Coturnix japonica: one gene and its partner. The protein of the gene in region 1 interacts with the protein of each later gene in a biochemical or structural test. Links are inferred from orthologs where the notes say so. Each region holds a gene or a part of one and is shown on either strand. Other genes may lie near its edges.

What was found.
Region 2: the proteins of NPR2 (region 1) and NPPC form a complex in vitro, tested with the Homo sapiens proteins (3 studies listed by BioGRID). The link is inferred for Coturnix japonica from reciprocal best matches to the Homo sapiens genes NPR2 and NPPC.

Annotation. Positions count from the first base shown.
Region 1 is NC_029547.1:8,344,503-8,348,889, forward strand, and holds the start of NPR2 (atrial natriuretic peptide receptor 2), read right to left. Parts: upstream 2,863-4,387; 5' UTR 2,835-2,862; coding exon 2,111-2,834; intron 1-2,110. UniProt on the Homo sapiens protein: Receptor for the C-type natriuretic peptide NPPC/CNP hormone. Has guanylate cyclase activity upon binding of its ligand. May play a role in the regulation of skeletal growth.
Region 2 is NC_029524.1:13,423,898-13,428,393, forward strand, and holds the start of NPPC (C-type natriuretic peptide), read right to left. Parts: upstream 3,074-4,496; 5' UTR 2,823-3,073; coding exon 2,730-2,822; intron 1,832-2,729; coding exon 1,529-1,831; 3' UTR 1,516-1,528; intron 806-1,515; 3' UTR 1-805.

The DNA of each region.
Region 1 (4,387 bases):
GGGACACAGTGTGGCACAAGGCAGCACGAGGGACACGGACTGTCCCTTCAGGGGGTTTTGCCATGGGGCAGAAACCACTGGGGCTTCTTAGTGGGACATCCTCCCAAAAAACACAATGCCACCCCTGTGCCACCTCCTGCCCCACCCCACAGCCCTTGGGGACACCACGTGAGACCATCCCTGGCTGTGACAGCTGGTAGCAGATGGTGGCACGGCCGCGCAGGGGCCCACATGGTCACAGCCCTCATCACGGGGGGAGGTGGGGAATGGAGCCAGCGTGGCTCCTGGGGCAAGAGATGTGCAGAGGGGTTGGGGCTGTGTGACAGGTGCCACCCAAATGGGGGAAAACACACGGGGCTGGAAGCACCATTGAGCAGCAGGGGACAAAGCCCAGCGCCCACCCATGTCCCCAGGCGCAGGACCTGCGCTCTGAAGGCAGATGCCCCGGTAATTCCCTCATCTGCAGCTCTAATTATATCAGCCCTGCTGCGAGCAGCAGCAGCGACGTGGGGCCCGGCACGTCGCCCTCAGGCCCAGAGAAAGGACATGGCAGCACAGTGCTGATGGGGCAGGTGCGTGCCAGCCCCATTACTGCCACATGGGGATGCAGCCACATCCCCCGTACCCACATTTGGGGCAGCAAACACTGAGGAATGGGGAGCACCGGGGGCACAAAGAGGGACGTGGCTCTCCTCAGCCTCACCCCGGGTGATGCCAAAGCAATGCTCAACACAGGGTGCATAGTAACAGCATTCTCCACAGCCCCACACAGCATGGGGCAGCTCCAGGGGCCCCATGTCTCTGCCCATGCTGCCTTGAGCCAGGGGCACCGATCACATCAGGGTGATTTACAACTCCAAGCCGGAAACGTTGGAAGCAATCGCTGAGCCGAGCTTTTTCCCCGTGCACTCCCTCACCCCAGAAAGCCATCAGCTCAGGGCCAGGGGCTCACAGCTCCCTCAGGCTCAGCCCTGCTGGCCCATCTGGCTCCTCTCATCCTAGCCTCGTGTCCTTCCTAATGACACAGCATCTTCAGATCCATTAAGGAGAGCTGCCTCCCCGATCGATACGCCCTGCTCATCAATAATGGAAGAGCAGCTGCCTGCCCTTGCTCTCCAGCTGCCTCCAGAGCCCCTCCATTTCCTACTGCACCCAATACAGCCACTCTCCTGGGGCGTTCCCAGCCTTGTCCCCAACCCTCCGCCATGATCACAGCTGGGGACCAGCACCAAGGCAGCGGGCCAAAGGGCCAGGCTGTTTCTTCCCTGCATGGGGCACATCCATCTCACTGTGCTGGCACAAGAGCCACTGCCAGCACTGCCCATCAGTGGCCACGTCTGCACCATCACCTCCGCCTCCAGGTCCAGCCTGCCCTTGGTGGCCCAAGCCACAGGGTGCCACAAAGGTGCCACCATGTCTCCTGTGCCCTGTGAGGGGCTTCAGGCAGGGATTGGGGGTCCCGAGGTTCCTAATCCTGCCCTGGATATCCCAATGGTACCAAGGTGACTCCAGGTCCCCTAGGGCCAGCCTTGTTCCACCACTGCACCCGCTGTCCCGTGCCCCCCCAGTCTGCTGAGACCCCCCCTTCACCATGCCCAATGTTCTGCCTCACACGGGTCCTACAGCATCCCCAACCACTCACTGTGCCCCACAGAGGTCCCACCGTGTGTCTTTCCATTTGCTGTGCCCCACAAAGGTTCCCTCCTACCCACTTCTAGTTGTGTCCCACACAGGTCCCACTGTGCGTCCATCCCCTCATCGTGCCCAGTCGGGTGTCCCCACACTTTTTCTGTGACTCACAAGGGTCCCGCTGGGTGCTCAAATTCTCACTGTGCACCACGGGGTCCCCAGAATCGTGCCCACCCATTAATGCCACGCACGGGTCCTGCTGTTCGCCCCAGGCGCAGCCCCCCCTCCCTCTCCATCCCCGCACCGCGCCCCACCGAGCACTATTCCGCACTCTCGGCGCGGCTCCCAGCCCCGCGCGAGGCCCCCGTTCCCTCGGCGGGACCCCCGCCCACCTCATCCCACCTCATCCCATCCCGTCCCGTCAGTTCGGGCCCCGCCGCCCCTCCCGGCACCGCACGCGTCGCTCCGAGCCGCCACGCACCGCGCCCGCTGGCCTTGATGAAGTGGATGGCGGTGTCGGGGCCGCCCTCGTCGGGGGAATAGATGTGGTGCCGGACGGTGAGGTTGCTGCCGTCCTGCAGCTCCTGAAAGACGCCCTCGATGGTGAAGTAGTAGGGCCGGTCGTCGGTCTTGCGGTCCACGTAGAGCAGCGCGGCGCGGGAGCTCCAGTTGAAGTGGGCGTGCAGGTGGGACACGAAGGCGCCCAGCTTGGGTGCGGAGGGCCCGGTGCGCACCGTGGTGCGGTAATGCTCCCGCTTCTCGCTGAAGCCCACGGCCACGGCGCCGGCGGTGATGAGCGGCAGCCGCCAGTGCGAGGCGAAGCGCCCCACTGAGGCGGCGGGGTAGACGCAGCCCGGCCCGAAGAGCACGTCGGGGTCGTGGTAGAGCTTCAGGTCCACGGCCTTCAGCGGCGCCACGTACTCGGAGCAGGCCCCCCCCAGCTCGGAGCTCATGAACTCGACGCGCACCGAGAAGGGCCGCGGCAGCAGCGGCGGATCCCCCCGCTGCAGCGCCTCCAGCGCCAGGCTCAGCGCCGGCTCCACGCGCGGCCAGGCCCACGCGTAGCTCACGTTGCGCTCCGGCAGCACCACGGCCACCGTCAGGTTGGCGCCCGCCCCGTCGGGGTTCGCCGCCCGCCGCCCTCCGCCGCCGCCGCCCGCCGCCGCCAGCAGCGCGGCCAGCACCAGCGGCAGCCGCGGAGCCATGGGCCGCGATGGCTCCTGCGCCCGCCGCCGCCCGCGGCTCCTCCGTCCGCCGCCCCGCCGCCTGCACCTCCCCCGGGCGGGGCCGCCCCGGGACGGGCAGCTCTCCCCCCCACCCCTCGCCGCCCCGCCCCGCGCCGCCCCCCGCCCTCGGCCCCTCGGCAGCCGCGGCGGGTGGTGGTCGCGCCGTCGGGGCGCGGGGTCTGCCCGAGCCGAGAGATGGGGAGCGGGCGCGTGGGTAGGGGGTGGGGGGTGTCGAGGAGAGAGGCAGAGTGCTGAGAGTTCTCAGCGCCTGGGGGAGTTGGGGAGGGGGCTGGGGGTGATGCGGTGTTTGCGTACCGGGGGTCCTCAGTGCCACGGAGGTCCGAGTTCTGGGTAGACCTCAGCATGGAGGGATTGGGGAGTTGGTTCCGGGTGCTGGGGGTTCTAAGCGCGGGGGAGAGGGGAGGGCGAGTAGGTTATGATGGTCGGGGTACGAGGGTGTCCAGCGTGGGGGAACTGGGGAGGGGATCTGGGGTGCTGGGGGTTCTCAGTATTGGAGAATCAAGAGGGGTGCCCAGGTTCTGAGGAGACCTGGACGTGGGGGTTGGGGAGGTGTTCCCGGGTGCTAATGTGCCACAAGACACGGAGGTCGGTAAGGGGTTGGGTGCCGGAGGTCCCCGTTATGGGGGGGGATTGGGTGTCCGAGTTCGGGAGTTTGGGGTGGAGACATGGTGCAGCGTGACGAGGTGGTCACTTAGGGGAAGTGGGAAGTAAGTACCCAAGTTCTGGGGGTCCCCAGCGTAGAGTGATTGAGTGCAACGTCCAAATTATCGGTCGTGTCCATCCTGGAACGGTTGGGAGGGGTGCACAACTCCTGGGGGTCCTCAGCATGGGGGGGGCACTGTGGAGATGGCCCTGAGTGCCCACAATGGGAGTCCCTTTGGATTTGGGGTGCGGGGTCCCACGGGGGTACACGGGGCAGGGACAGCCGGGCTCGGCGCAGGCAGGAGCGATAGGGGGGTCTGGCGGGGCCCCGCTGGGGGCAGCGTGCCCGCGCGCATTCCGCACATTCCGGGCCCCCCCACTCAGTGCCACGCGCCCGCCCCACGCGTGAACGCGGACAGAGGATGGGCGGGGGCGGGGGCGTGGTGGGGCTGCGTGGGTCCGGCTGCCCACACGGGGCCCGCGGTGGGGACACGGAAGCAGCGGGGGTCCGGGTCTCCTCCGGGGTATGTAGGGGGGGCTCCTCCTGCCGGTCCCGCTGCAGGTGTCCCCCGATGAGTGACACGTCGCCCCCCGCGGGGTTGGGTTACGGATATAAATACCCGAGGGCGGTGAAACCCGACCGGCAGCGGCGCGCTGGGGACCAAAACCTCTCCGAAAAGCAACAAAAACGAGCCTCGCTGCTGCTGCTCCTGATGTCGCCGTGCCGCCAGGGAGGGCCCGGCAGCGGCGGCCGTGTGCTGACATCGGACACTGCGGGGACACGGACAGGGACGGGAGGGGCTGCGCGCCGCACGTGGTGCCATCACTCGTACACCCACGCGTGGGCGGGGGTCCCGCAAACAGCGTTG
Region 2 (4,496 bases), on another chromosome or scaffold:
CACCTCCGTGCAGCACCCAGAGCAGCACAGCATGAAACAGGGACTGCAGCCCGGTGCCGTGCCATCACTCTGCTGCTCTCCCCTCCCGGCCGGGCTGTGGCAGCGAGCTCAGGTGCTTCCATCGGGCAGAACTGGCTCCATCCGAGCACAGCAGCGCTGGGCACGACTTAAAGCACGAGGGATCAAAGCTTCCCCCATCACAGCCTTCCTCCGGCTCCTGCCTTCTCTAAAGCATCCCGACCATCTCTCGGCTCCATTCCAATCAATCAACCCGACGTTGCAGTTGGACGTGGGTTTGATAAATAAAGACATGTTACCAAACGGTTTTTCTTTCTTTTTAACCTTTTTTCCGGCTACTTAGGACAAAGAAAAAACAACAACCCCAGCAACGTGACAATGCTTGACTTCTCCTTTAGTTACATAAATAATTTCTTTATAAATATCTCTTTATAAACAATATATAAATAGCTTTACAACATAAATACATTTATGCATGACATGAATTTACAAACAGCAACGTTATACAGCCGGCTTCATCAGTCTCTCAGAAAAGCACTGTCCCTTGTCTCGGTGAGTGTTTGTATATATAATATAGAGAAGATAGAGAGCGCTTTTAAGGGGGGGGAACGGGGAGGGAAAAAGAACAACCGAAACAGCTGGTGGGTGCCGTGACTCCTCGTACCGAAAAGAAAAACACAGCCACATCTTTTGTCCGATCCTGGGGGGGTTTCTCTGCTCTTCCAGGCGGTGCCTGAGGGGCGGCCGTGCCCGGCCCTTGGGGGAACGACGGAGCTGCTCCGGTGCCCTGCGAGGAACGAAGGAGAGCCGTGAGCGCCCGCCCCGCATTGCCCAGCATTGACCCGAGATGCGACCCCGGCGGGATGTCCCGGGTTTGGGGTGCGGGTACGGAGCTCGATGCTGTGATACAGCGAGGGGAAATCTCGGCCCGCTCTTGCCGGGGTTGTGTGTTGGTGATGCTGACCGCTCGCCCCGGGGCCAGCAAGGACGGGAGCTCGCGGCTTTCTCGTCCTGCCCGCCGCGCTAAAGCTTTATGGGTACGGGGGGATCCGGGAGCAGAATGAGAACGGAGCTGGGATTCGGGGGGTCCTCCGGCCCAACCCAGCCGAAAGTTTTCGCTCCTCGCACCCGGCTGAGAAACCGCCCTGAGCGGAGCCGGGCGCGTGGGGTGAAAGTTCTGAGCAGAGCTTAAGGACACAGGGCGATGCCCCGGGGATGCCGAGAGCCGGTGCCGGCACCTGCGGGTCGCACAGCCGGGTGTCTGCGTCCGGACACAGCCCGGACCGGGGCGGAGCGGCGGCACCCTCGGTCCCCGACACGGCGGAGGAGCCGCGCTCATTGCCGCTGCCCATGGCCGCCCCGTGCCGCTGTGCTCAGCGGATCCCCCGCTGCTCGGCTCGGCCGGACTCGCACATCGCAGCTCCACGGGAACCACCCCCGGGGCAGCCCCGCCCGCCCCGCGCCCAGCACCGCCCTCGGGCCGCGCCGCGCACTCACCGCCAGGGGTCCCTCAGCAGCCGAGGCCGCTCATGGCTCCGATGCGGTCCAGCTTGAGGCCGAAGCAGCCCTTCCCGAGCCCCTTCTTGTGCAGCCCCTTATGGCGGCGGCCCGACGGCTCCTGCAGCAGCCGCGCCCAACCCGCTCGGGGCCGCGTCTCTGCCCGCGCCTCCCGCGCCTCCCGCGGCCCCGCGCCGCCTCCTCCGCCGCCTCCTCCGCGGTTCCGCTCCTTCTCCTTCTCCTTGTCCCGCTCCGCTCCCGCAGCCTCGGGCGGACCCGCCGCCGCCGCCGCCGCCGCCGCTGCTCCGCGGGACGCCTGCGGGGAGACGGGCGGTCACTGCGGGGCGGTCACCGCGTCCCGAGCTCCGCGTCCCTACCCCGCAGCGGAGCATCCCCCGCCGCCCCCCGCGGCCCCCGCTGGGTCAGTGCGGCCCGGAGCGGGGCTGGGGCGGAGCTCCCCCGGGCTGTGTGCAGGGCAGCCCCGAGATGGGGTCGGAACACCCCAAACTGGGCTCACCGCACCCCCCAATTCAAATGGCTGCGCCCCCAAACACGGGTCGCCGTGACCCTCCGCCTCCCACCAGCCCTCGGCCCCTTCCGATGTGGGGTGGTCCCGCTCCCCAGCTGCAGGGTCGCTGCCGCTCTGTGCTGATGCCGCTGTCACCCCACTCTGCAAAGTGGGGAACACCGGGTCCCCCGCTTTCCCAGCTCTGCCGCTCACACCTCATTAACACGCTCTGAGCACTCTCACTTCTGCGTCCTCCTCACTGCCTCCACTGTCCCGTCTGCGGCTGCTGCTCACCCCCTTCCTGCCCATCACGCCCCCCAGCTCTCCATGCCGACATCCCCCACCCACCCCCCCGCTGTCCGGCTCCGTGTGCCGTATCTCCGGTACAGGTGTCGGTGTCCTCCAGGACATCCCCGCTCCATCCCCGAGGGACACACAGGGTGCCCCCCATGGGCTCCGACCTCACACCTACACCCGGGTCTGACTCCAGCACCGCAGGGTGACGTGGGGACAGCCGTGTCCCCGCTTACTGTGGTCCTGCAGGGTGAGGACTCGCAGCGTCCTCTCCAACCACAGTTCTCCCCTACACGTGGGTCGGTGGTCTCCTACCACCCACAAAACCCAATGGGAAGGAGGACTCCGTAGCGCCATCCCCTCGCCCTAAGGACTCTATTGGGGCTCAGCAGCGGGGCAGAGGCAGCCCTACCTTCTGCGGGAGCTGGGACGCCGGCTTCGCCTCCAGCCCGACGGAGAGCAGAGCGAGCAGCAGTCCTCCGGCCAGCACGGGTGAGATCTGCATCCTGCAGTGCAGCGGGAATGGGGCCGGGGGGCAGCGGGGAGCCCCGGGGAGAGGCCGGGACGGAGGGAGTCAAAGTTCAGCGCGGAGCCGCGAGGTCCCTCCTGCCGCCCGCGCTGTGCCGAGCCACTGAACTTGGGCTTTCTGCTTCATTCATTTTATAACCCAACCTGCTCGGTGATGTCATCTAAACAACCAGGTCCAGCCCGGCCTCCCACTGCACAATAGCAGGAATTTAAAGGGGGGGTCCCCTCTCCCCTGGCAGGAACAAATGACACATCAGCCCAAGGCGATGGGCTCACAGAGCTGGAGAGCCAAAGAGGAAAGTGAGGGGCATTTGGCTGAGCTCCCCCAACCCCCCCCCCCGAGGGTGGCTGTCACCCCGTATCCCCCCACCCCACAGCCCCTCTGCTGCCCCCTCATCCATGCAGACCCCCAGGAGGGGCATGGGATGGCTGCTGCACTCCGCAGGGGGATCCTGGAGGGGGATTAAGTCCCAAAAGCAGAAATGAATGCGAAAAGCACTTCCCCGCCCCCCCCGCATCCAGGCTTCAATCAGAATGAAACTCTCAGACCCCCGTTTGCCAGGAGAGGGGGACACTGCTCTGCATGGCGGTGACACGGGGACACGTGGGAACAGGCTCACAGGTGGATGCTGTGGCTCAGACCTGGTCCCGCTCCCTGTCCCTGCCCTCCCGCTGGGGGTCGGGATGCTGCCCTCACCCTGGGGCAGTCACAGCTGCTTCGTCTGCAGGGTACGGTCAGTGTCACCCTGCCCTGCAAGGACAGTCCCCGTGCGATGTGGCTGTGAGCGCTCCCACCTGCTGCCGGGGCTGCAATGGAGGATGAGCTTTGGATGCTGGTGGCAGCTCAGGGCACGCAGCCGAGGGCAGGACTTAGGATTTGTGGTACCACCGTTGCTGCCATGCATGGCACCAGAGCCGCACCAACCCCATCCCTGGCGCCCTGAAGTGCAGGGATGCTCTTAGTGGTGCAGTGCCCCCAAATCCTATCCACGGCACCATGGAAAAGCTCCAGGCTCTCCCCAGGCTGGTGCTTTCCCTGTTCTCTGGGACTCCCCGGGGCTCTGCTCTGCCTCCAGCAGGATCCGAGCTCTTTGGGGGGCTGTGGTTTCCCCCCCTGCAGCTGCACTGCTGGGCACGGGCCGCCTCGCAGGGAACCATCCCTTCAGTTCCATGCGGCCGGGAGCTGGAAGGAGAAGGTCTCGGTGGTTTTTCCATTGTGCCTGCCAGGTGGAGACAACTTGGGCTTTTTGGAGCGCAAAGTTGCACTCGGGCACTCGGCTGCATGCAGGCAGATAAAGGCGATGGAGGCAGCATTACAGCCGGCCCCCCATGCCAGGTGACCACACGCACAGGCGTGGGGCACAGAGTTCCCTTCTGTATTTTGTGGGGCTCAGCCCCATGGGGAAGGATCCCCCCGTGGGATGAGGGGTTGCAGCCCTATGTCTGAGCATCCTGCACATGGCACAGCACAGCTGGATCTCACCACCGTGCTCTGCTGGGTTCCCGTGAGCATGTTTGCTTTGTCCCAACGCTTGCAGCCTCAGTTTTGGGGGCTGTGCTTTTAAAATCCAATTAGTGCTGTTATTCAAATCACCCTGCCCTTAACCGAAACCAGACCACATCCACCCGCACTGCTTCACAGCAGCAAAAA